Linked DNA regions of Arabidopsis thaliana. The gene in region 4 interacts genetically with the main gene of each other region. Each region holds a gene or a part of one and is shown on either strand. Other genes may lie near its edges. The genes, in order: HUA1, FPA, FRI and HUA2.

Region 1 (6,308 bases), on a different chromosome or scaffold from region 4:
CGGACTACTAGTGAAGGATCCACACAGAAGGATCGCTTACACGAGGGGGGCCACAGAGATAAAGCAACACCCTTTCTTTGAAGGAGTGAATTGGGCTCTAGTTCGTAGTGCTGCCCCACCTCACATTCCAGACCCCGTGGACTTGGGACCGTACGCGGCCGCTAGAGGTAAGACCAAGAGCCATGGAGGTGGTGATCACTGTAACTCAATGAAGCCGGAGCCTCTGGTCGCCTGTGCTGCTGGTCCCACGGATGATACGGCGTATATAGATTTCGAGTACTTTTAGACTTAAAACTCCACAAGCTGAAAGTTTCGATATGTTTGTTTTTGTTCATATTCTTTAATTTTGGCGAATACAAATTGTGATTTATAAAAGAAGAACAGATGACTTGGTTTAAGAGACTAAAAGAGTTTTACTAAAAGAGTTAAAGCAGATTTTGTGTGTGAGATAACAATTTGTCAATGAAAAAATCCACAAAAGCTTCTCTGAGTCAATTAAAATGTCCTAAGAGACAACACTCTTCTCGACATAACAGAGCGTCAGAACCATTGGTTCCAAATTTCTCGCTGCCTTATTCTTATCGTCATCCTCCGACCAAAGTTCCATCTTCTGCACAGAGATGTTGATGAAGCACTGTTTTGTGTCTCATAACGCCAATGATCTCTGTTTCTCTTTCTCCAACTCCAAATTCAATCTTGCAAGCTGCCCAAAGAAGCCACCTCGTCTCACCTGCGTTGTCAATGTTGGATTCCAAGATATCGCTGAGGTCATCCACAACAAGGTTTCGCCTTTTTCTCTTCTTTCATTCCTTTTTTTGGAGGGTCATCGTCACTTAGGCTTTTGATTTCACCGGCGTGAAGGTACTCATAGCTGCTGGGACTTCTGCTGTGATTGGGCAGCTCTCAAAGCCATTCACTTCTGTCGTTTTGTATGGGAAAAATCTGGACTTTAGAAGTGTCTTTCAAGCTGGAGGTTTCCCTTCAACACATTCTTCTGTAAGCTTATCCTTTTTTTATTCTTGTTTCCTCTGGTAATATTGTTTGTCTACTTCTCTGACATTTTGGCCTAATTCTTGAGAAACCAGTCTGTTGTGGCTGCAGCAACTGCTATTGCTTTTGAAAGGTGATTAGCCTGAACCTTTCTCTTCTCAATTCCCCTAAATATACTCAGCTTATGCAATTTCCTGAATATGGTTTGGCTTCAGGGGATTTGCTGACTCCATTTTTGGTCTAACTGTGGTTTATGCTGGCCTTATCATGTATGATGCCCAGGTAAAATAGTCTATAGAGAAAAGCTTAGGCTGGCTTTTGTTCAATAGGTCTTTGTTGGTTATTCTCAAATTCTCAATGTCTGATTCTAGTGTTATCTTAATGTCTCACTGATTGTAACATTGCAGGGGGTGAGGAGAGAAGTTGGAAAACATGCCAAAGTGTTGAACAAACTAACAGCTAATGCTCGTAGAAGTGAAGTAATGAGTTTAAAGGGCAACGAATCTAACAAAGCTTTGACATCAGAAGAGATCAGTGAGGAGATTGCTCCTCCATTGAAAGAATCAATAGGACACACTGAAGTTGAAGTCATAGCAGGGGCTTTGTTCGGTTTCTTAGTTACCCTCAGTGTTTATTCCCTGATGTAAAAAAGCTCCCAACTTTATAAAAACTATATATTTTTTGTGTTGATAAGAAAGAAAGAGAATTTAATAATGTGCAAACTGCAATAAAACAGAGAATCAGTGGTAATGTCAAATCAAGTTTTATGGATCTGAGAATTTTTGTTCTGTTTGAGTTGGTTGTAAACCCCACAAACACAACAATTTTGATAATTTGTTTGACACCAAAAAAGTAGAAAGCTTTTTCCTTTAGGGTTTCCTTTTTCGATCGAATGGCACATCGTCAATTGTATAGCTACGCCCTTCAACCTTCTTATGCTGCTGCTGCCTCCACCGTATCTCCAGCTCCTCCTCCGCCGCAACAACCACTGCCGCCAAAAACCGGTCTTTCTTCTCTCTACGGTTCTTCTGCTGACCATTACTTTCCGGATACCACGTATCGTTTCTTAGCTCGTGATGGATCCGAAGCTTTGAGCAACTATTCAGGGACTCTTGCATCGTCTTCCTCTATGTACCATCATTTGCCTAACACGACGGCATCGCATTTGGCGTATCCTCAGCTGCTTCAGCATCAGGAAGTTGCTTGGCCACCTGGTGTGGAGGTTCCCGGTGCTGCTTCCGCCGTCGAGCCACTTCCTCCTGGTGTCAAACGCACCTCTGAAGGTAGGCTCTTTGTTTACCTTACTATTTATGGGATCTGCATCATTTTCTTATTTATTGCTTGGAGAACTATGCCGCATAACTTGAAAAGTTAAAGACTTCAGCTTTCCCTTTTCTCTGCTCATCGTGATACTCTAGTTCTGTAGCGGAAATTAGTGTTTTTGATGGTTTGTTTCTTCAATTGCAGCATAAAAAACTCAGCTTTAGTCATGGTCTCTAGCCTGATTCTTTCTAGGATAGATTTTAATTTACATTTGCTCAAGCACAATGATGTTGGTTTGTATTCCTCTGTGCTTTCTCGTTAGCTGAAATAGAGGTTGGATTGGTTTGGCCAATTGCTTTGTTTTGAGTCTGGACAACGCGAAGCTTGACAGTTAGAATCATCTTTCAGGAGATGCTTAGGGATTGCATCTATAAACTATATAGCTTATGGTAGTGTTCTTGATTAAGTCTTTGTTGCTTTAGGATTGCCTAACGATAATTGTTTTTAGTTTTGACCTTAATGTTTATTGGAACACTTGGTGATTTTGCAGAATTGATTGATGATTTATGTTTTGTTGTAACTCTATGGTTTCCAATAGATTTTCAGACATGATTGTATGTAAGCCAGAATTTCTTACTGTAAGTTTAACTAAAGATACAATTGATTATTGATGCTATATCTTGGTTTTTGCTATAGTATCTCCCAAATTTATTTTCAAATTATACTTATAGTCAGTATATATCTTCTCATTTCGTTGTATATTATTGTTTATTATGTAATTTAGCGCTCTACTATCCGACTCTGTTGGGTGCCCATAATACAATTGGTCAAACCGAAGCTTGGTATACTACAGACTATTTTACCAAGCGCCCTAAGTTGGAGAGTACAAGCCATTTGCCTATATATCCACAGAGGGCAGGAGAGAAAGATTGTACCCACTATATGCAAACAAGAACATGTAAATTTGGAGAAAGCTGCAGGTTTGATCATCCTATTTGGGTTCCTGAGGGCGGAATCCCAGATTGGAAAGAGGTGATCGTTTACTACTATCTAAGTATTTCTTATGCCCTCATATGATTTTTACATTATTATGATAACGTTTTTCTATATTCTGTTATGTACTTATATGTTTTATACTGTGGGAGTTTGTGCCTAATTACTTTGTAACTATATATATTGTTTTTGTTTGGTATACGAGGTTATAGAATTACTACATTATCATGATAGTGTAGGTATAGGTATGACAAATGGTATCTTATTGTTATTCAAGATTTGAGCTTCCCGACTTCTGCAACCGTGTTTGTTATCCTTGCTTTTCCCTTTGTCAGATCATTCCTTGACTTGGAAGAGACATCATACTCATTGTCTAGGCATTACATGATAAAATGATATGATTGTTTTTGCTTATGAATATCTTTTCATTCAGGCACCAGTTGTTCCAAATGAAGAGTATCCTGAGAGACCAGGAGAACCAGATTGTCCTGTAAGCTGTTCGTGAAAACTTTTCGAGCTATTTTATTTCTGTTTCGCCTGAAGACCTGAGACTATCTTTCTTTTATTTTCACTGTTATCCAGTACTATATAAAAACACAACGCTGCAAATATGGTTCAAAGTGCAAATTTAATCATCCAAGAGAAGAGGCTGCAGTAAGTGAATTTTCCTTTTCCAAATAAAATTATCCCTCGGGTTGTGTATTTGCCTGCAGACACTCGCATAAAATCTTGTGCTTGTAATATGTACTGCTTTAGTTTTTTCTTGGGCTGTGCATGCACCTAGAAGCTTGATGCTCTTCTTTATTTCAGGTTAGTGTTGAAACTCAAGATTCATTGCCTGAGAGGCCTTCTGAACCTATGTGCACAGTAAGATATAAACATAATTGATTGACCTATCCTATTTTTATAAATGCTCTTACATATGAAACTAATATCGATTATTAATTTGGCATTTCTACTCTGCATCAGTTCTACATGAAGACTGGAAAATGTAAATTTGGTTTGTCATGCAAATTCCACCATCCAAAGGATATCCAGCTACCATCATCGAGTCAAGATATTGGTAGCAGTGTGGGGTTAACCAGTGAGCCTGATGCCACAAACAATCCGCATGTCACATTTACCCCAGCATTGTATCACAACTCAAAAGGACTACCTGTTAGATCGGTAATGAATTCATCTTCACTTTGCATAAGACTGACTTATAATCATATAGGCACAATTTGTGACTTTCTACTATCTTATTGGCACTATACTTAGAACTGATTATGGTTTGCTAGCATTGTATGCTGACCTGTTCTGACGTCTGAGAATGAAGTTTCACTAATTAGATTGTAGCTTTTTCAGGGTGAAGTGGACTGCCCATTCTATCTCAAAACGGGAAGGTGAATATCTCTTGTATAATACTATTTTGTTGTTTAGAACATTGAAACAAAGAACGTGACATTAACGTTCTAACTTGTTTTCCTTTTCCATAATCAGCTGCAAGTATGGAGCCACTTGTCGCTACAATCATCCTGAGAGGACTGGTTTGTGATCATGCCAAAATTTTGTGGTTTTTAGAACCTTTAACGTATTACTTTTATCCCTAAATTCTCATAATGTGCGATGTTTTGATTCTGTGCACAGCATTCATTCCCCAAGCTGCTGGGGTAAACTATTCTCTAGTTTCATCGAACACTGCGAATTTGAACCTTGGGCTGGTTACACCAGCTACCTCTTTCTATCAGACTCTTACTCAACCCACGGTAAAAGCCTTTATTCATGTTGTGAGAAATATTCAAGAGCGCTTCTTTAGTTGATAGGGGTTTAATTAGAGTGGAAATTGTTTCAGCTTGGAGTGATTTCAGCAACTTATCCCCAAAGACCTGGACAATCAGAATGTGACGTTAGTATCCTTGTTTCTTTTAGAGATTGCTGAGCTTTTTCTCCCACATGTTAGTTGAAATTTTATACCAAAAGCTCTGTCTTTCAATATTACAGTACTACATGAAGACAGGGGAGTGCAAGTTTGGAGAGAGATGCAAATTCCATCACCCAGCAGATAGGTTAAGTGCAATGACCAAACAAGCTCCTCAACAACCAAATGTAAAGCTGAGTCTTGCAGGGTATCCCAGAAGAGAGGTACCTATAAAGTGGTATTATTAGAAGCCTGCATGTTGTGAGTTTGTGTGGTAATCTCATAGACAAAACAAAAACTGTTGCAGGGTGCGCTTAATTGCCCTTATTACATGAAGACAGGAACTTGCAAATACGGGGCAACATGCAAGTTTGACCATCCTCCTCCAGGTGAGGTGATGGCTAAGACCACTTCAGAAGCCGATGCTGCTGGAGCAACCAACACCGACACTACTCAATGAGTTTCCCAGCTTTGTGTAACATAAGATGATATCTTGTTGTAATCCTAGTTTACTTCCTATGTACTGCATCTGTTTCGTTTCGAAATGCTTATCGCTCGTGAGTTCTCTACTTCTCTTTATCATCCTAAAACAAAAAAGATATCGTTGAGTGAGTCTTCTTTTACTCAGTTGAGCTCATAAAAGCAAAATTGTTCATCACCACTCTTCTCTCCTCAATGATCCAATTGAGCATTTATCTGCCGTTGATTCGGTTCTCTTGGATAAATATCGTTTCCATTGTGATTTTGTTTATAGCAATTGTCAGTAAACTCCAACTAATCTCCACAATAAGATGAAACAACACGTAACAACAAGATGTGACAGAGTGACGACAGAGAGCCAGTGCATGAAACATGCTTCTTCAGCAAGACACATGTCGGTGCTAACTGCTAAATCAAAAGTGGGTCCAATGTTTTGTTCTTAAGAGTCGAAGAAGAGGACATGACATGAGAAACAGAGGCAAAGGAAGAAAACATGGACTAGTTGTCTCCGTGTCTCTGATTTTAAGTTTTGATGAAACATGTGGAAGGCCTCTATTAATGGTATAACGACAAATGATGAAAGTAGCAAAGGAGGACTCAAAAAGTTTGATGCCTTTTTGATTGGATCTTTTAAAAATATGAGCACACTTCCCTATAATACTTCTATAATCCAAAATACTCT
Region 2 (7,735 bases), on a different chromosome or scaffold from region 4:
TACACACCTGTTGTGACACTTGAAGTGAGTTTGTTGGATAGTATTTTGGCTTTTTGCATATTCAGCTGCTTAGTACCTTCCTTGGATTTATTAGCTCTTGTTGGATTTGTAGGATGGTATTGCATCAACGCTTCAATGGTTCTCTCGGGATCTTGAGAAGTCTGATGACACAATCATTCAATCTACTGCAGATCAGCTTCTTGGTTGTGGGAAAGGTTAGAACCATCTCGCTATTAACAATTATAATGCCTTTTTGAAGTGTTCTTGGCTAAGTATTCAGTTGTATTGCTTGAAGTCCGCATCTCATCTAGCTATGGATATGATGATGCATGTTCACAAGGCTTAACCTGGAAAGAATCTATCTCTATTTTCAACTTAGATTTGTTTGCTTCTAGATGTCTAGAACATGCTGAAGTATCTGCTTGGTTAATTTACATCTTCTTCCAGTCCATGTAATTTCATGCGAGTTCCAACTTTATTTCATGCACATATAAACAAACTCAAAGCGAATCTGGTCAATGCAAGCTTTTAATATTAATCTCTTTAAACTGACTTAGCTTTTCATCTCTATGTTCTCATGCAGTTGCAGACATCTTGCTGTGGAGAAATGAGAAGAAAACCTTCGTTTCTTTTCTTGTCCTAAACTTGTTTTATTACTGGTTCTTCTTTTCTGGAAACACATTTACTTCATCTGCAGCCCAACTTCTGTTTATATTTGCTGTTGCTCTCTATGGAGTCTCTTTTGTGCCGTCAAAGATGTAAGTATTGGTTCCAGAACTTTACCATTATAGAAGGCAGTGAAAATAAGTTGTGATACCAAAATTGTCCTATCAAAGGATGATGCACCCATGTATATATATTTCACCTTTGAAATCTATATGCAACTAAGTGACAGATTGATTTATTTTGACAGTTTCGGGTTTCAAGTCAACAAAATACCCCCATGGAGATTTGAGATCTCCGAATCCGCTGTGAGAGATCTTAGTAGTGATATCGTAGTTGTCTGGAATCAAGGAGTTCGCAGTTTTAAATCCTTAAGCAGTGGAGGAGACTGGATCAAGTTCTTCAAGGTACAATTCTACTCTTTATGCTCACCAAACATGAAAAATATCTCATTGCTCTCGTTTCCTAAAACAAAACATAAAAACAGATTGCAGGATCACTGTATCTCCTCAAACTGATTGTATCCCGTTCATTGGCAGCATTTCTTTTCACAGGTACTCGAACAAAGCTTTTGTTTTCACACTTCATAAACATGATTAACAACTTCATAAACATGATTAACAACTTCTTTATCCATAACATTTTCTCTACGCTTTGCTTGGACAGTTATGTCGTTCTCATTCACCGGTTTCTTCATCTACGAGCAATACGAGCTTGAGCTCTACCACCTAGCCCGGATATTCGTCGAATGCTTAACATTTATTAAAAGGATGGTGATACCTGTTTCTGATGCTTCATCTAAACCAATGTTCATGTGAAGCTTCCAAAGTCCTCCACTAAACGAACACCAACAATCCCAGAGACTAATTGCAGTTATTAGATGTCTTATGTACAAACATTATGCTATCAGGATGTAATCTTCACTGAGAGGGGATGGATATATGATTATTTACGAATTTGCCATAACTACTATCAAAATGCACCGTTTTGATCCGGTTTCCAAAAAAAAAAGAAAAAAAAGGAAAGTATCCTTATATATCCTTTAAAAGCCGCCGCTTCGATATTCCCTGGCCTCTCTTTCTCTCACAATCTAATCTTCTTCGTCTTCAAACTCAATCTAGGGTTCTCTTCTCCTCTCTGTAGGTAGGATTTTGAACACCCAAATCTCTCATCGAATTTTTCTTGCTCAACGTATCATCGCACAATTCGTCTCTCGTTTTCCGTCACGTGGATAATCGAAATCTCATAATCCCAAAGGTAAAACAATCAATTCTGGGATTGGAATTTTGGATCCATAGGATCGTCAATTGAAACAATCCCGATGGCGTTATCTATGAAGCCATTCAGAGCCGATGATTCCGGTTTCCAGTCAAACAATCTTTGGGTCGGTAGCCTAACGCCGGAGACGACAGAGTCAGATCTGACCGAGTTGTTTGGAAGATACGGCGATATTGATAGAATCACGGTGTATTCTTCACGAGGCTTTGCGTTTATATACTACAGACATGTGGAGGAAGCAGTCGCAGCCAAAGAGGCTCTTCAAGGAGCAAATTTGAATGGAAGTCAAATTAAGATCGAATACGCACGACCGGTTTGTTCTTATCTATATCTTCGTTTGTTCTCTAACTTTGATTGTCTTTTGTCAACGATTATACTCTTTTTGCGAATTCATAGTCCAGGTTCACAAAACTTTGATGATGCTTGTTTAGTCCAAAAATTTCTTGTTGAATCTGTTTTTTTTTTCCTCATCGTACAAATCAAAGTCGAAACCTAGTTTTTTTCTATTATACGTCGTTAGCTTAAGGCGAAACCTGATCCGATCGAAACGTCTTTTCTCAAATTACTTTGGTTATATCGAACTCGCGCAAAGCCAAACCACAGAGAAGCTCTGCAAAATTTGATGTTAAAGCATATATAACTCTTAGCGAATGAGCTCTGCAAAAGAATACATCAAACACATGTTTACTCTCGTTTATGCGAAGAAGGTTTAATCCGATTGTCGTTTATCTGCAAACTTGTATCCGCGTTTAGCAGTCTGATTTCAGGTTCGCTTCAGATGTTAAATCTCACAAGCTTGAGTATGAATGTATTGCGTACTCCACTCGAAATTCGCAATGGTGAAAATTTGGAAGCGAGCAAACTCTATCATCGGCCAAACAGATAAGAAATTTTGGAGTTTAAAAGTTCAGTTTCCTGCAAAAATCAAACCGCGTGGAGAAATTTGTCTATGGCGGTACGTAGATATCAATAACTGCATCTGCGAAACAGAAAATTCTGGCAACCGTATCGTCCTAACTCCTAGTATCGCTGGCACATATCCATATCAGTGTGAGGGAGTTTTGGGCTTGTTTTGGCTCGATGCTTCAGGAAGACAAATTACGTGGTTGTTAAGGCGGCTAACTCTACCAATCAGAAACGCTTTATTCGAAGAACCATGTTTGTTCCTCAATTCCCATCCCTACGTACAATCTGGGCTTTCCCATTGTAGTTCCTTAGGAAGTTGACTTCTTCACAACCATTCTGGGATTGGTACAGTTGCAGTGGACAAGACAAATATTCATTTGCAGGCAGACTCAAATTTCAATGTCTTGCCGGCTTTGAGTACTTAAATGGAGTGTTCAGGGATTGGTTTATTTGGGACTCAGGCAATGGATAAAGACAGGAATGTTTTGCAGAAAGTATTAATGTCTTTCCGGCTTTGGGGACTACATACTTCTCCTACAGACAAAATCTGATGTTTAGGCAAGAGAAACTATTAACACTGATTTAATAGAGAAAGAGGAGATGGTTTCTCCTTGCGGCAATTTTATTTGTTTAGGAAAGCAATTGATATGAATTGGTGTCGTAGTGTAGTTGAAATTACTAGTTAGTTTGTGTGTTTAGTTTCCTTGATGTTTGATGCTTTATTCTTGGCAACCTATCTGGGTAGTATCGCCTTCTTATCGACCTTTTCTTGTTGCAGGCAAAACCTTGTAAGAGTCTATGGGTGGGTGGAATCGGCCCTAATGTCTCCAAGGATGACCTGGAGGAAGAGTTCAGCAAGTTTGGGAAAATCGAGGATTTTAGGTTTCTCAGAGAACGCAAGACAGCTTTCATTGATTATTATGAGATGGATGATGCTTTACAGGCTAAGAGCATGAATGGAAAGCCTATGGGTGGTAGCTTTTTGCGTGTTGATTTTCTCCGGTCACAAGCGCCAAAAAAAGTAAGCACTCTTGTGGCATTTGATTTTTACTTTTGAAAACGCTCCAGTAAACATTTTGTTTAGTTTCATAATTTGCGTCAAACTGATAGGGCTGAGCTCTGTCTTGTGCCCCTAGGAGCAGTATTTACTCGTCTCTATTTCATTGTAGAGTAGGCTCAACTTCTTAAGTCTGAAATCAAGTTACCTTTGTGTTATCTTCAGGAACAATGGGCTGGCTCTTACGATAACAGAAATGGCAATATGAATCATAAACCGCAGGTTAGTCTTGAATGTTGAAAGTATGTCTCTTGTTACTAGTGATATGTATAGGTTACTGGTTTTGACGTTTTGTTATATTCTTACAGTATCCTCACTCATATGAAGACTTTAAAGGAGATGTCCAGCCAAGTAAGGTTCTGTGGATTGGGTTCCCTCCTACTGCTACACAATGCAATGATGAGCAAATTCTGCACAATGCGATGATACTCTTTGGTGAGATCGAGAGGGTAAAAAGTTACCCATCAAGGAATTTTGCACTTGTGGAGTTTAGGAGCGCGGAGGAAGCTCGCCAATGCAAGGAAGGCCTACAGGGGAGGTTATTCAATAATCCTAGAATCAAAATTATGTACTCAAACGATGAGTTGCCTCCTGAGCAAGACGATACTAGTTTTTACTCTGGTATGAAACGGTCAAGGACAGATATGTTCAATAATGATCCTTCATTTGTATCTTCTCCTCATTCTACTGGAATTCCTGGGTCTATGAGGCCCCTCAGAGGTACAAATGAGCGTTCATATAATGGTGCAGAATACAATGACGTTGTTGGTAAGGAGCCAAACTGGAGGAGGCCATCTGCAAATGGAACTGGAATACTCCCATCTCCAACAGGACCTGGAATCCTCCCATCTCCTGCACAAGGTACGAGGCGCCCTATGAGGTCAAACCCCGATTCTTGGGAAGGATATGATCCTGCTCAGTTGGTCAGAGAAAGTAAACGAACCAGAAGAGATGGATCAGTGGACGGTTTTACTCCAATGGGTGTCGATGAGAGGTCATTTGGTCGAGGTTCAGTTGCTGCTAGACCTATCCGTGGCCCCCCTGATTCTGATCACATATGGAGAGGAATGATTGCCAAGGGTGGAACTCCCGTCTGTTGTGCTCGTTGTGTACCTATGGGAAAGGGGATTGAAACTAAACTGTGAGTACTAATTTCTAGCACTTTAACCCTTCTAGTGTTTTCTTTTTCAGAGCGATTTATATATTTTCCATTTCATTCTCGATGGAAGTAACATTATTATAGATAGTACATTTTTATTTTACTATTACTTGTTTAGTTTCTGAGATGTCTTGATTTTCATGGTGTTGATTCATTTTTGGCATTGCCCTCAATTACTGACTTTGTTTTTTTTTTAATAATTGATTTATAGGCCTGAGGTCGTCAATTGTTCAGCAAGAACTGATTTGAATATGCTCGCTAAACATTACGCCGTTGCCATTGGATGTGAGATCGTTTTTTTCGTACCAGACAGGGAAGAAGATTTTGCGTCTTACACTGAATTTCTCCGGTACCTTAGCTCAAAAGATCGGGCGGGTGTTGCCAAATTAGATGATGGTACAACTTTATTCTTGGTGCCTCCATCAGATTTCTTAACTGATGTACTCCAAGTGACCCGTCAAGAACGGCTATATGGTGTTGTTCTCAAGTTACCCCCGCCAGCCGTTCCTGTTACAGCATCATACAGACAAGAATCTCAGTCCAATCCTCTGCATTATATGGATCAAGCCCGGGATTCACCTGCCAATGCTAGTCACAGTTTATATCCTCCTAGGGAAAATTACATTAGGGGTGCACCAGAACATTTGACAGCTGCTTCAAAACCATCTGTTAGCGAGCCTCTCAGAATACCTAATAATGCAGCGCCTCAAGCTGGGGTTAGTTTAACTCCGGAGCTTTTAGCCACTCTGGCATCTATTCTCCCTGCAACTTCTCAACCTGCTGCCCCTGAGAGTCACCAACCTATGTCAGGACCTTCAACAGTTGTTTCCACAGCACATCAGTCCAATGGACTGTACAATGGAGAAGCACCGTCTCAAGCTTGGAAAAGAGGTCCACAAACAGTTCATGATGCGTCAAATCAGTCATTCCAACAATACGGAAATCAGTACACTCCAGCTGGGCAACTACCTCCTCCTCCTTCGCGTTACCCTCCAGCTTCAAACAACCCCAACTACACTAGTGGAATGGTCCATGGCAACATGCAATACCAGAGCCAATCTGTTAACATGCCTCAGCTGTCTCCGTTACCAAATATGCCTCATAATAATTATTCCATGTACACTCAGGGTTCGTCAAATCATCCTGTTTCTCAGCCCATGGTCCAGCAATACCAACCAGAAGCGTCCATGCCAAACCAAAACTATGGTCCAATTCCAAGTTATCAGCAAGCTAATTTTCATGGCGTAACAACAAATCAGGCACAGAACTTAAACCCTTCCCAATTTCAAGCTGCCATGCAACCACCAGCAGATAAGGCAAATTTAGAGCCACAAAACCAAGCACTACGATTGCAGCCTATGATCTCTGGGGATGGTCAGGGTACAACAGATGGGGAGGTCGATAAGAATCAGAGATACCAGTCAACACTACAATTTGCAGCAAACCTTCTTCTCCAGATACAGCAGAAACAGCAGCAACAGTCTTCAGGTACTCCGGCTGGACAGGGGCCTTGAAACTAGCTCCACTCTCCATCATAATCATAATCTTCAAGGTAATTATCTCTTCTACCCTCTGCCTGATGACTGAGTTGAATGACCATAAGCTTTACTTACATACTTTTCTGATCCTTTCTTGTTGACATATGATAAAGCATGTGCTCGCTGTCGTTGAAACTGGAGCATTTAGTCTGCATTTTTATATAGGGTACATGAAACTTTGTGAAAATAACATAGGACTGCTTTATTGAATATATATACATTTTTTCTGTGTTGCTTGCATTTTCGTTATTGATGTCTACTTTGGTACTTCTTTCTTTGATTCTACCGTGAATCTAGTCTAGTAGTATCACACACAGATTATTATTCTTATCACATGTAAATTGTGCTTTCTCTTGGATCCCCTTTGTTTTCTTGGAGCTATGATGGAGTGTGTGTGTACGAACGGTTGCTTATTTAGCATACCTTGGATTTGTAAATTTTGGTAAATGTGATAAGAATATACTCTCTGATTAGGATTTCTAACTACTTGTATAGAAATATAACAACCGTTGCAAAACTCTCCTTTAATACCAAAGATAAGAGGCAAAGAATCTTGACTGTGATCATTAAGAGCATACAAAGATGACCTGATCGCAGAGAGCCAATTTGATAGACTTGAAAATGCCGTCAGAGCAAAACTCAGACGAACAATCTGATGATACAGATACTCTTATTGTTAACCAAACCCCATAAATTGCTAAAGAAAACACAACAGATTCAATTGTGATTTGCCTTCTTGTGAGCTTAGAGAAAAGTGAATTGAAGGAAGAGAAGCCGTATCACTAACTCATAGCTGTTTTGAAATTGTGTAGGTGATGATTTGAGAGCTAAAAATTGCCTGACCAAGAGAGAGGCTTTGTGCTATAGTAACAAGTTTACGAACTAGCCCTACAGATGCAACCAAATGCTCATCTTCGTTAGGTTTTTTCCTGCGGCGTTTAGATAAAAAAAAAAAGGCTGTATAAAAAATGAATGTCATTTAGATTTTTTCTTCTTTTCTTTTCCTAATTTAGTTGTTCTTGTTGTTCTCATAAACTAAATCTTCAGCATGATGTCAAAATTGTTGATGATACTTCAATCGAGAAACCCAAGTTTTTTTTTATAAATCATACTTCGTTTCGAATCTACTTTCTC
Region 3 (4,984 bases), on a different chromosome or scaffold from region 4:
CTCTTTATCTTTAACACCATCTCTAACCTCACTCTCTTCAGAAGTATTGTACCCTTCTGCTTCTAGTGATTCAAGTGCAACCTGCAGCCTTGCTTCAGCCAGAGATAATGCCATAGTAGCCTTCTGAACAGCTTCTTTAGCAACGGACTCTTCATCAACAGCCTCTTGAACCACATTAAGTGTTTGGTTTACATCGTTCCACGCACTGGCTGCTTCATCCTTAAGTGCTATCGCTACCTCTGAAATCCTCTGAGCCTTTTCTTCAAACATGGTACTGTTGAGACTAGCCACTTCCAATTCTTTAGTTGCCTTATTCAGTAGATCCCTGAGTTCCTCCAAACTAGGTGCAGAATCTTGCTCTCTTGTGTCTTTCTCTTCCTTAGAAAACGTAACCTCCCTGTCATCACTACCTTCAGCAAATTCCAAATTCCGGTCATTCCCAACCAAATCTCCTACAGAATCGCTACTTTGACAAAGTAACCTAAACCCCAGCGGAACATTTTGGGGTTTTGCAGGAAGCAAATGACCGTAAAATCTTCCATTGAAATCAGCATTCAAAGTCAAAGAAGAACGATACGATACATTTCGTTTCGATCTAATAGCTGAGCGAACTTTAGAATCAATCATCGGATCCCAAAATCTAGTGCCGCCGAGTCCTTTGGGACAGAGTTTCGCACTTATCATTCGATTCGGCAAGCAGTAACTCGCAAAATCCGCACCACCGTGAAACATACTCTGGCGCTGAACGCTAGACGCAAAATCCATATTACTGCTGCAGAAAGACGGAGAGAACAAGAGACTGACCGATCATAAGAGAAGAGAGCTTCAAGGCTTCAGCTGATGAAGAATCAATGGCGGCGAGAGTGAGTGAGAATCGAGTAGTTACTGAGAGGAAGATGAAACGTATCTCCTGAGAAAAAACGTAAGAGAGTTCCGTTTCAACAGTATTTTTCTCGGCGGTCTTCAGATTTTCCGTCCAACTCTCTCTTTCCTCTTTCAGTTTTTTTTTGCCCAATCACTCGTGGTAGGATTTTTTTATAAGAAAGTTACGAAAATGCCCTCTCGTGCTTAGAGAGATTCAATTCGTGCACATATAATATGCCGTGAATATACCACCAACTCTCTTACTCGTACTCGCATGTGGTGCGTGCAATATACACGTGGTTCGAATCAACGGCTACGTTTTACTGATAGGTGGCTCGTTTAGTTTTGCACTGCCTTTGGGTGCGCGTGACCAAGTCATTTTCCAAATGTGTTTTAATATTTGTGAACTATTATTAATAAAAAAGCGAGCGACGTTGTTCGTTGATGAGGGAGCGACCGTACGCTTGGCGACCTTCTCTGATTGCGTAGAGTCGTTTTCCTTATTGGGCTTACCTAGTACCGTCAGCCCACAATGTTTTCATTTCTTTCCCACCTAAAACTAAAAGTACTCACAAGTCACAACTTAAACCAAGTACACAAGGATTTTATCATGGGATTATCGTGTTTGAAGACTAAAAAGAGCACACCATCACCCCCATTAGTGCAGGTAGAGTAAGACAGTAACTTTTGGGTTCATATTACCGAGCAAGAACCGTTATTTGTGATTAGACATGTTATAAACCACTGCTTTAGTGACTATTTAAAACAATATATTACATGTCGTAATCATGCAACCTAACTATGTTTTCATTAATCAAATACAAAGAATAAAGAGAAAAGTGCGTAGATTCAATTATTTGGCATAGACTCAAAAGAGTGTATATATATCTGACTTTTATTAAATTATTAAACACAAATACATATTTTCATAAGCAAAACTATAAAAGCCCTAAACATATAACGATTACCTCAAAGGAAAAAGTCGTTTTCTCCTAATTAAAAGATAGGTTACTTCCTAATTAATATATAATTTATGTGAACTTCACAATATACAGTTCAATAAAATTTGGTAATTTGACCGATTTAAGGAGAGTGGAAATTAGGGCTTCTGCAATCTTTTTTCTTCGCCGCAATCTCATGTCCAATTATCCACCGACGGTGGCGGCGCAACCCACAACGACGGCGAATCCACTGCTGCAGCGACATCAATCTGAACAGCGACGAAGAGAATTACCGAAGATTGTCGAAACAGAGTCTACAAGTATGGACATTACGATCGGTCAATCTAAGCAGCCTCAATTTTTGAAATCCATAGACGAATTAGCTGCGTTTTCAGTTGCAGTGGAAACATTCAAACGCCAATTCGATGATCTTCAGAAGCACATCGAGTCAATCGAAAACGCAATTGATTCCAAACTCGAGAGTAACGGCGTTGTCCTCGCCGCGCGGAACAATAATTTCCATCAGCCGATGTTATCGCCTCCGCGGAACAATGTATCTGTAGAAACCACCGTCACTGTGAGCCAACCGTCTCAGGAGATTGTACCGGAGACGTCGAATAAACCGGAGGGGGAACGTATATGTGAGTTGATGTGTAGCAAAGGTCTGCGTAAATACATATACGCGAATATCTCTGATCAAGCTAAGTTAATGGAAGAGATTCCTTCAGCTTTGAAATTGGCCAAGGAGCCAGCGAAGTTTGTATTGGATTGTATTGGCAAGTTTTACTTACAAGGGCGTAGAGCATTTACTAAAGAGTCGCCTATGAGCTCTGCGAGACAAGTTTCGCTTCTTATACTGGAGTCTTTTCTTCTAATGCCTGATCGTGGTAAAGGGAAGGTGAAGATTGAGAGTTGGATTAAAGATGAGGCGGAGACGGCTGCTGTTGCTTGGAGGAAAAGGTTGATGACTGAAGGAGGATTAGCTGCGGCTGAGAAAATGGATGCAAGGGGTTTGCTTTTACTAGTTGCTTGTTTTGGTGTTCCTTCAAACTTTAGGAGTACAGATTTGCTGGATTTGATAAGGATGAGTGGTTCGAATGAGATTGCCGGTGCTTTGAAGCGGTCACAGTTTCAGGTACCATATTCTGTTCTCACTCGGTGAATTTCATTGCAAAGGTGGTTCCTTTTGTTGACATCATCGACCAACATCAAGTTCCATCTTTGTTTTTCGATAAGCTTGATGGTATAAACTAGGAGAGCACATCAAATATTTAGAGTGCAATGACTGATTGAGCCAAATCCTAGCTAGAAATTAATCTGGAAAGAACTTGGAACTCTCAACCATAGGTTTTGGTACGAAATTGTTGCTTGTCAGAACCAAATGATAGGCTATTGCCTTGAAATAGTGTTTCTTGTGGTTTCCAATATTGGAAGTTAAAATCATATGACTTAGCTGTTGGATACTAATTAAGCTTAAGCAATGCCAACTCTAAGAAGTGGTACTTACACAATATTCTATTGGTCATAGGTATAGTTGAATCAAGTATCAAGCGTGGAATGCATATTGAAGCTCTTGAAATGGTTTATACCTTTGGCATGGAGGATAAGTTTTCAGCTGCTCTAGTTCTAACTTCATTCTTAAAGATGAGCAAGGAGTCATTTGAGAGGGCAAAACGGAAAGCCCAGTCACCGCTGGCATTTGTATGAACCCTTCCCTTGCACATTATGTACCTTTATGAACTCTTTATCATCATCTGAGTCTGACCATTGATATATTTATTTCTCAACAGAAAGAAGCGGCTACAAAGCAGCTAGCTGTGTTATCATCAGTTATGCAGTGTATGGAGACTCACAAGTTAGATCCTGCGAAAGAACTACCAGGATGGCAGATCAAAGAGCAAATTGTTAGCTTGGAGAAAGACACTCTTCAGCTCGACAAAGAGATGGAAGAGAAAGCAAGATCTCTCAGTTTAATGGAGGAAGCCGCACTTGCCAAGAGAATGTATAACCAACAGATAAAACGTCCAAGGTTATCACCCATGGAAATGCCACCAGTAACTTCTTCATCGTATTCTCCTATCTACCGTGATAGAAGCTTTCCTAGTCAAAGAGACGATGACCAAGATGAAATATCAGCTCTTGTGAGTAGTTACCTCGGCCCGTCAACATCTTTTCCTCATCGCTCAAGAAGATCCCCGGAATATATGGTTCCACTTCCACATGGTGGGTTAGGAAGAAGTGTATATGCATATGAACATCTGGCCCCAAATTCATATTCTCCAGGTCACGGACATAGACTTCATCGACAGTACTCTCCGTCTTTGGTTCACGGACAGAGACATCCACTACAGTACTCTCCTCCAATTCATGGACAACAACAGTTACCATATGGTATACAAAGGGTTTACAGACATTCACCATCTGAAGAAAGATATTTGGGTTTATCCAATCAAAGGTCTCCTCGCAGTAACTCATCATTAGACCCCAAATAGGAGGAATGTAAATTTGTAACAAAGCTTTTTGTTTTTGCTTAAGTTAGTCATTTATTTAACTCCCAACAGTCTCAAAATTTAATTTAATGTTTGGGGCTTAAGAATGCAAATTTTTTTGCTCCTGTAATTGACATTTAAGATGCTAATGTTATTGCTTCAGAGGTTTTAGTCAACCTCAGATACATCGATATCACTATCTAAATAGACCTCTGGCTCTTGGTCATCTGGATTCTCTTCATCTTCTGTCTCTGTTCCTTCTTGTTCTCGTTGCACTGCTCGAGCAATTGCGGATTCCAACCTTGTGCTTACAGTTTCCCATGACACAAGCTTTTCCATGAATGTATTTATGTCCGCCTTCTTATCTTTCTTGAGGAAGATGAATTCACCGAAGATCCAACTTGAGCTTGACAATCAATCAAATCCGAAACAGAAACAGAGCTTTTTGACATCTTTGATTTAGCAGTCTTTGATCTTGAGGAATATCAATGAACACTAGATACACTCACACTTGCAGGCTTTAAACTGGATTTTAAACATGAATAGAAGCATTGATTCCATGGAATGTGGTAAGTGACATAGCTGGACTTCTTAAACAAATGTATGAACGGGTAGGGTTCATTACAATGTAGTTATACAGCACTGAGATTTATGGAAGAAAAAAAGGACACAGCTTTAACTATCTACAGA
Region 4 (7,665 bases):
ACTGCTTTGTCAATTACTTGATATAGTTGAAACTTTGATACTGTTCGTTGATACTTGTTCTTCTGTGGATTTGTAACTTGATTCCTGCTACTAGTTTTAATGTCCACAGTCTCAAGAGTGTCTGGTTTGTGACGAGTTAACACTTTCTGAGTCTCAAATTGTTTGTTGTGAGTCTGTGACGCATCTTTAATCTTTGTCTTTGATACAGGTCTTGCAATTTATGATACTATGCAGTACATTCGTTCTCCTATTAGCACAATTTGTTTGGGTCAGGCTGCATCAATGGCTTCTCTTCTGTTGGCAGCGGGTGCCAAGGGGCAAAGGCGGTCACTTCCAAATGCAACTGTTATGATTCATCAGCCTTCAGGAGGATATAGTGGACAGGCTAAAGATATAACGATTCATACAAAACAGATTGTTCGTGTGTGGGATGCGTTAAATGAATTGTATGTCAAACACACGGGTCAACCTCTTGACGTGGTTGCGAATAACATGGATAGGGATCATTTCATGACTCCTGAAGAGGCTAAGGCGTTTGGAATAATCGATGAAGTGATTGATGAAAGACCGTTGGAGTTGGTGAAAGATGCAGTTGGAAATGAAAGCAAAGATAAGAGTTCAAGTTAGGAAGTAACTGGTAATCAAAGTAATAAATTTTCTTCTTTTCCTCTTACCAGTTTTGCTTTGATCCTGTTAGATTACTTTTTTCTATGGATGAAGTTATGCTCTGAGGGCATGATCTCTCAAACTGTTTTTATTCATTCATAAATCAATCATGACTATATTTCTGAAATCTTTTCCTCGCATGTTTAGTGTTTACAGTCTCATATCTGATTCAGTAAAATGAATATTGGATTAACGCTTGGCTTTGGGTCTTAATTTTATGTGCAGTTTGATGCATTGCAAATCTTTGATTTATGCATCATTTTATACTAACTAGAAAGTCTAAAATGATGAGATTATTGTCTAGTTTCAGAAACCCCAGTTCTAGTTGGTTAGTTTATGTTAGAAGATGGGGTTTGCTGTTTCCTTATGCTCTTGATCGATGTTCTTCGGTTTCATGTTTTTGCTTACCTCATCAAGTCAAAGCCACATCTATTCTGATTTGCCTCTTTTTATATAGAAGAAGTTAGAACACATCATATTCTTGTGTTAACACTGGTCTTTGATTATGCTCTTTGAATTAGGGACAGAATCTTAAGATCTTTATGAAAATTCTTGTACGGTGTTGTCTTGTCGTGTTGAGCTGAGCCTTCAATTGCTAGTGTTTGCTTCTGTTACTCTGAATTATATTTGGACAATCTCACTCTAATAAAAGTTTTTTAAATACTAGCAGAATTGTTAATTTATCCTATGGTTTACATGTTTATATGATTTTGTTGGTTCTATAATGTGTAAAAATGGAAAACATGATTTTTTTTTCCTTTTTTTTAAAAGTATAAATGGAAACGTGTAGGAAAGTGTAAACAAGAAAAGAGGACATAAATGACCCAATGACTTAATAATATATTTGGTTGAGACTTAGGAGTAGTGAGATTAAACTACAAAATAAGGTAAATTGGAAAATAAGGAAAAACCTTTTTCGATTTCGATCTCTCCTTGGTGAAAAAGGAAATTGAAAGGGGAAAAAACGCCGACAACAGTAAACCAAACTTCTCACAAAAACTCCTTGGAAAGTTTTCACCTTCTTTCAGCCCTAACCCCATCGTCTCTCTCTCGCGACCGCCTCATCTCTCTCTGTCTGGATCAATCTCGCTCTCTCTTTCTCTCGGCTACGTCGCTGTTTCTCGTTTCGTGATCCGTAGCTGTCTCCGCTACTACCTTAATCAGCGAGCTTCTTCCGGTGGAATAATCTTCGGATAGGAGGAATCGGAGAATTCTTCTAATTGGGTGTCTGGGTTGGATTGGAATACGTAATTCTGTTGGGTGTTCCAATTTCGCGTTCAAAATTAGGGTTTATAGAGGTCTCGCCTATGGCTCCTGGGCGTAAAAGAGGAGCGAGCAAGGCCAAAGCCAAAGGGCAGTTGGTTCTCGGTGATCTGGTTCTCGCCAAAGTCAAAGGCTTCCCTGCTTGGCCTGCCAAGGTGCGTTATCATTATGATTCCTCTATTGGGTTTTAATTTTTCTTACACAGATTCTTGTTTTTTTTGCTTCTTCTCTAATTGAATTCTCATATAGTCCTTAAGTCCATAGTCATCATCTTTAACTTGTTGGGTCTTCTGTTTTTATCGTTACGAATTCTAGAATACACATTAACTTCGTCGAATTGAGCTCTAGTGTGTTCTGTTTCTTTTTGTTGAGATACTAGGCTTCATGATTAAGTTGGTTTGAAAGTCAGTTAACTCATCTATCTAGTTACTCGGTCAGATTCCATGGTTGAATTATGAAACACACATGTTATTCATCTCGATAAATAATGAGCTTCCGAATCTCTCTAATACAATTCTCTTTAGTTAGTCTCTCTTGTGAAGTAATTTGGTTTTGAGTTTCAGATCAGCCGGCCTGAAGATTGGGATCGTGCGCCAGACCCAAAGAAGTACTTTGTTCAGTTCTTTGGAACAGAGGAAATGTAAGCTATTCTCTTTTATTCTTTGATTCTGGTACCTTCTCATCCAGAAAGGTATATGAACTTTAGTCAGTATATCATGTTGCTAGGAATTAAGTAGTAGACCTCGGTTATCAGGTGTTTCAACATGTTACCAAGTGTTTTTCTTTTTGGCTGACAATATCTTTGGAGTTGATTTTGTCTTTTACAAACTGATCATTGACAAAGTTATCTTCCTTTACTGCAGAGCTTTTGTTGCGCCACCTGATATCCAAGCCTTCACTAGTGAGGCAAAGAGCAAACTATTAGCAAGATGTCAAGGTAAAACTGTCAAGTACTTTGCACAAGCTGTAGAGCAAATCTGCACTGCATTTGAAGGGTTGCAGAATCACAAGTCAAATGCTTTGGGCGATGAGGATTCTCTGGATGCTACTGAACCTGGTTTGACAAAGGCTGAGATAGTGGATGGAACAGATCATATTGTCATTGAGTCTGAGAGAACTGATAACTTTAATTTTAGGGTGGATCCTTGCTTCCCCAAATTAGATGAGAATAATGGTGAGGAGAGAAAGGCTGAGATAAGGAAGCTAGATTCATCTTCATTTCTGGAATCAAAGGTCAAAACCACATCCCCTGTTAGCGAGTCACTGGAGCATAGTTCATTTGACCCTAAAATAAAGAAAGAAGATTTTGATAAAGGAACTGACGGTAGTGCTTGCAATGAACATTTTGGTAATGGCCAAAAGAAGCTGGCTAACGGTAAGAGAATTAAGAAGGAAGCAGGTGGCTCTGATAGAAAAGGTGAAGATACAGTTCATCGAGACAAAAGCAATAACTCACATGTGCCTGGTGGTCGAACTGCCAGTGGTAACTCTGATTCCAAAAAATCGAAAGGTCTGTTGACAGAGAAAACCAGCTCCAAAGTGTCTGCTGATAAGCATGAAAATTCACCTGGCATCAAGGTTGGGGTTTCCGGAAAGAAAAGGAGGCTTGAAAGTGAACAAGGTAAGCTTGCACCAAGAGTAGATGAAAGCTCACGTGCTGCTAAAAAGCCGCGATGTGAAAGTGCAGACAATAAAGTAAAGTGTGAAATTGATGATGGATCTGATTCTACTGGGACTGTATCAGATATTAAGCGTGAAATTGTTTTAGGATTAGGTGCTCGCGGTGGAAATTTTCAATATGATAAAGAAGCAGTTGCATATACAAAGCGCCAGAGACAGACAATGGAGCATGCTACCTCTCCTTCTTTTTCTGGGTCTCGTGATAAATCTGGGAAAGGTCATCTGGAACAGAAAGACCGTTCCTCTCCTGTTCGTAATGTTAAGGCTCCAGCTGCACAGTCGCTGAAAAAACGGAGGGCTGTTTGTATCTACGACGAAGATGATGATGAAGATCCAAAAACCCCATTACATGGAAAACCAGCCATTGTTCCCCAAGCAGCATCTGTTTTGACTGATGGTCCTAAAAGGGCTAATGTGTGTCACAGTACTTCTACAAAAGCTAAGATATCTGCTGGATCTACAGAGAGTACTGAAGTAAGAAAGTTCCCTCTGCGTAAACATTGTGAGGATGCATCACGTGTATTACCAAGCAATGCGGAGAATTCTACTAATAGCTTACCTGTGGTAAAACCCATTAATGAATTGCCGCCAAAGGATGTCAAACAGATCTTGCAATCTCCGAAGATGTCCCCTCAGCTGGTTTTAACTAACAAGCACGTTGCAGGACAGCATAAAGTTGTAAAATCATCGGTGAAAGTTTCTGGTGTTGTGATGGCAAAGAAGCCTCAAAGTGATTCTTGTAAGGAGGCGGTTGCGGGATCTGACAAAATAAGCTCTTCTCAGTCTCAGCCAGCAAATCAGAGACACAAATCAGCTTCAGTTGGAGAGAGGCTAACAGTGGTTTCAAAAGCTGCATCACGTTTGAATGACTCTGGTTCAAGAGACATGTCTGAGGACTTGTCTGCTGCTATGTATGTCACATTCTATCTGTCATCTTTTTGTGTGTATGTCGCCTACTGCTTATAATTATTCTTTTCTTGCAGGCTTGACCTCAATAGAGAAAAGGGGAGTGCTACATTTACCAGTGCAAAGACCCCAGATTCGGCTGCATCTATGAAGGATCTAATTGCTGCTGCGCAGGCAAAAAGAAAACTTGCACATACACAAAATTCAATTTTTGGGAATTTGAACCCTAGTTTCTTGAGCATCAGTGATACACAGGGGAGGAGCCATAGCCCATTTATGGTTCAGAATGCTTCAGCTTCTGCTGCCATCTCAATGCCGTTAGTTGTTCAAGGTCATCATCAACAAGGTTCTTCTCCGTCAAATCATGGGCATCAGTCCTTATCAAGAAATCAGATTGAGACTGATGATAATGAAGAGAGAAGACTTAGTTCAGGGCATAAGTCAGTTGGAGGTTCACTTAGTTGTAGCACTGAGGCTGCTATTTCTCGGGATGCTTTTGAAGGCATGTTAGAGACCTTATCAAGAACCAGGGAAAGTATTGGACGTGCAACTCGCCTAGCAATTGATTGTGCCAAGTATGGGCTTGCTAGTGAGGTAAGATGGTTGGTTGGTTTTTCATTATGTTTTTTCTTAAGGCTTCGACAAACTTATTGTTAGGCTGCACATATCAAATCAATTTAGAATTGCACTTATTCTGGCTTTACTTCTTGGATGTTTAGCTTGCTACGTAAATTGCTTTCTCAAAATTATTTACAGCATTTGGTGCGTAATATTGTTCAGACAATAGTTGCTTTAATTGGAAATTTGTTTGTGTTTTTATCTAGGTGGTGGAACTTCTCATACGAAAGTTGGAAAGTGAATCTCACTTCCATCGTAAAGTGGACTTGTTCTTTCTCGTCGACTCTATCACCCAGCATTCGCACAGCCAAAAAGGTGAGCTTTCCTCTTGGATAGATGCAATACCTGTTCTCAAATTTTCACTTCCTTCCCTGAAATGCTAATAATACCGTATTTATTAGCATTTCAGGGAAGTAAAAAATTCACAAGCATTGTTGTATTGTTTTTTACTGTATACAAAGAGAACACCTAATATATTTATTATCATTAAAGATTAAATAATTTCCAGTGCTTGTGAATTTTGTAGGTATTGCTGGTGCTTCTTACGTTCCTACTGTGCAAGCTGCTTTGCCACGTCTTTTAGGTGCCGCTGCTCCTCCAGGGACTGGTGCTAGTGATAACCGTCGTAAATGTCTGAAGGTATTTAAACTATTTGCTTGTTTCTATGTTATCCTTACAGTTTTGTAGGCTGGAGTCAGTGACCTCTTTGTTTTTTTAGGTCCTGAAGTTGTGGCTTGAAAGGAAAGTTTTCCCTGAATCTCTTCTGCGTCGTTATATTGATGATATTAGAGCTTCTGGTGATGATGCAACTGGTGGGTTTTCCCTGCGACGTCCTTCTAGATCTGAGCGTGCTGTAGATGATCCTATCAGGGAAATGGAAGGGATGCTTGTTGATGAGTATGGCAGGTATGCTAAACGATTGTCTTGCTTAGTAGTGTACTCTCCGGATTATATATGTTGCTGATGAAAAAATAACAGGCAAGGTCTGTTGCCATTCTGTAGAGGGTTTATTAACTTGTTTGTCGTTTTTTCTGCAGCAATGCAACGTTTCAGCTGCCAGGGTTTTTTTCATCTCATAATTTTGAAGATGATGAAGAAGATGACGATCTTCCAACATCACAAAAAGAAAAAAGCACATCTGCGGGGGAACGTGTCAGTGCTTTAGACGACCTGGAAATACATGATACCTCGAGTGATAAATGCCATCGAGTTTTGGAGGATGTCGATCATGAACTTGAAATGGAAGATGTATCAGGCCAGCGGAAAGATGTAGCACCTTCCTCTTTCTGTGAGAATAAGACAAAGGAGCAATCACTGGATGTTATGGAACCTGTTGCAGAAAAATCAACCGAGTTCAATCCTCTTCCAGAGGATTCTCCTCCGCTACCTCAGGAATCACCTCCCCCTCTCCCTCCTCTACCACCTTCTCCCCCACCTCCATCCCCTCCTCTCCCGCCATCATCTCTGCCACCACCGCCTCCCGCAGCGCTGTTCCCACCTCTTCCACCACCTCCGTCTCAGCCTCCTCCACCACCACTTTCACCTCCACCTTCACCGCCGCCTCCACCTCCACCGCCTTCACAATCATTAACAACTCAACTCTCCATAGCTAGCCATCATCAGATACCATTTCAACCAGGATTTCCTCCCCCAACATATCCTTTATCGCATCAAACATACCCAGGATCTATGCAGCAAGACCGCTCTAGTATTTTCACCGTGAGTTCTTTGATTTGTTATGTTTCATTTTACTCATGATTCCTCACTATACATATGCATCTTTTATCATTTTTGTTTAAACCCCCTGGACATCATGTGCAGGGTGATCAAATTGTCCAGGGGCCTGGAAATTCTTCACGTGGAGGTCTTGTTGAGGGCGCTGGAAAACCCGAATATTTTGTGCAGCAGTCCTCCAGTTTTTCACCAGCAGGAGTGTGCAGCTCCAGGGAGCCTTCATCATTTACTTCCTCCAGACAACTAGAATTTGGGAACAGCGATGTACTTTTCAATCCTGAAGCTTCTTCACAGAACCATCGGTTTCAGCCGAGCACCCCTCTGTCCCAAAGACCTATGGTTAGGTTGCCTTCAGCACCGTCCAGTCATTTTTCGTATCCAAGCCATATTCAATCACAATCTCAGCATTCCTACACTCATCCTTACCCTTTCCCACCTCAACGTGATGATGCACGGCGATACAGAAATGAGGAACCATGGCGGATTCCTTCAAGTGGACATAGTGCAGAAAATCAGAATGGTGCCTGGATACATGGAAGAAATTCACATCCAGGCCTTCCTAGAGTCACAGACAGTATGTAGATGCTTAAATCCTAATAGACCCTTTACCTGTTAAGGTTTATTAACTTGCATGATTGCTTGTGGAGTTGTAATCATTGTGATACTTCTGTTGACTATGATTGTCTAGCTTGTATGTTAATGCCATGGCTTAGTTCCTTGAAATTGATGGTCTTATTTGCAATTCTACAGGTTTCTTTCGGCCACCTCCAGAACGTCCACCTTCAGGGACAATGAACT

Evidence for each region.
Region 1: of HUA2 (region 4) and HUA1, changing one enhances a phenotype caused by changing the other (phenotypic enhancement), as found in Arabidopsis thaliana (one study listed by BioGRID).
Region 2: of HUA2 (region 4) and FPA, changing one suppresses a phenotype caused by changing the other (phenotypic suppression), as found in Arabidopsis thaliana (one study listed by BioGRID).
Region 3: of HUA2 (region 4) and FRI, changing one suppresses a phenotype caused by changing the other (phenotypic suppression), as found in Arabidopsis thaliana (one study listed by BioGRID).

What each region holds. Positions count from the first base shown.
Region 1 is NC_003074.8:4,024,574-4,030,881, reverse strand, and holds HUA1 (floral homeotic protein (HUA1)), read left to right. Parts: upstream 1-1,741; 5' UTR 1,742-1,882; coding exon 1,883-2,273; intron 2,274-3,037; coding exon 3,038-3,285; intron 3,286-3,679; coding exon 3,680-3,736; intron 3,737-3,828; coding exon 3,829-3,900; intron 3,901-4,056; coding exon 4,057-4,113; intron 4,114-4,215; coding exon 4,216-4,413; intron 4,414-4,593; coding exon 4,594-4,631; intron 4,632-4,728; coding exon 4,729-4,775; intron 4,776-4,875; coding exon 4,876-4,994; intron 4,995-5,080; coding exon 5,081-5,134; intron 5,135-5,229; coding exon 5,230-5,370; intron 5,371-5,453; coding exon 5,454-5,606; 3' UTR 5,607-5,806; downstream 5,807-6,308. Other genes in the region: AGC1.5 (AGC kinase 1.5), read left to right, coding at 1-286; AT3G12685 (Acid phosphatase/vanadium-dependent haloperoxidase-related protein), read left to right, coding at 621-782, 862-996, 1,086-1,123, 1,206-1,272, 1,398-1,637. UniProt on the Arabidopsis thaliana protein: Involved in flower development. Functions in floral reproductive organ identity by binding AGAMOUS (AG) pre-mRNA and promoting its processing. Functions in association with HUA2 and HEN4.
Region 2 is NC_003071.7:18,025,239-18,032,973, reverse strand, and holds FPA (RNA binding protein), read left to right. Parts: upstream 1-1,718; 5' UTR 1,719-1,984; coding exon 1,985-2,254; exon of another isoform or gene 2,255-3,405; intron 3,406-3,625; coding exon 3,626-3,868; intron 3,869-4,069; coding exon 4,070-4,126; intron 4,127-4,212; coding exon 4,213-5,045; intron 5,046-5,274; coding exon 5,275-6,577; 3' UTR 6,578-6,615; exon of another isoform or gene 6,616-7,413; 3' UTR 7,414-7,727; downstream 7,728-7,735. Other genes in the region: AT2G43420 (3-beta hydroxysteroid dehydrogenase/isomerase family protein), read left to right, coding at 1-24, 113-215, 584-758, 914-1,070, 1,151-1,217, 1,330-1,481. UniProt on the Arabidopsis thaliana protein: Plays a role in the regulation of flowering time in the autonomous flowering pathway by decreasing FLOWERING LOCUS C mRNA levels. Required for RNA-mediated chromatin silencing of a range of loci in the genome.
Region 3 is NC_003075.7:267,025-272,008, forward strand, and holds FRI (FRIGIDA-like protein), read left to right. Parts: upstream 1-1,876; 5' UTR 1,877-2,001; coding exon 2,002-2,940; intron 2,941-3,333; coding exon 3,334-3,339; 3' UTR 3,340-3,506; intron 3,507-3,595; 3' UTR 3,596-4,462; downstream 4,463-4,984. Other genes in the region: KEA2 (K+ efflux antiporter 2), read right to left, coding at 1-765; AT4G00651 (Fe superoxide dismutase), read right to left, coding at 4,463-4,700, 4,806-4,855.
Region 4 is NC_003076.8:7,784,200-7,791,864, forward strand, and holds the start of HUA2 (Tudor/PWWP/MBT domain-containing protein), read left to right. Parts: upstream 1-1,635; 5' UTR 1,636-1,973; coding exon 1,974-2,084; intron 2,085-2,492; coding exon 2,493-2,569; intron 2,570-2,792; coding exon 2,793-4,520; intron 4,521-4,592; coding exon 4,593-5,109; intron 5,110-5,339; coding exon 5,340-5,448; intron 5,449-5,659; coding exon 5,660-5,772; intron 5,773-5,851; coding exon 5,852-6,039; intron 6,040-6,170; coding exon 6,171-6,852; intron 6,853-6,954; coding exon 6,955-7,441; coding exon of another isoform or gene 7,442-7,449; exon of another isoform or gene 7,450-7,617; coding exon 7,618-7,665. Other genes in the region: NCLPP7 (nuclear-encoded CLP protease P7), read left to right, coding at 209-627. UniProt on the Arabidopsis thaliana protein: Transcription factor that functions as a repressor of flowering by enhancing the expression of several genes that delay flowering including FLC, FLM/MAF1, MAF2 and SVP.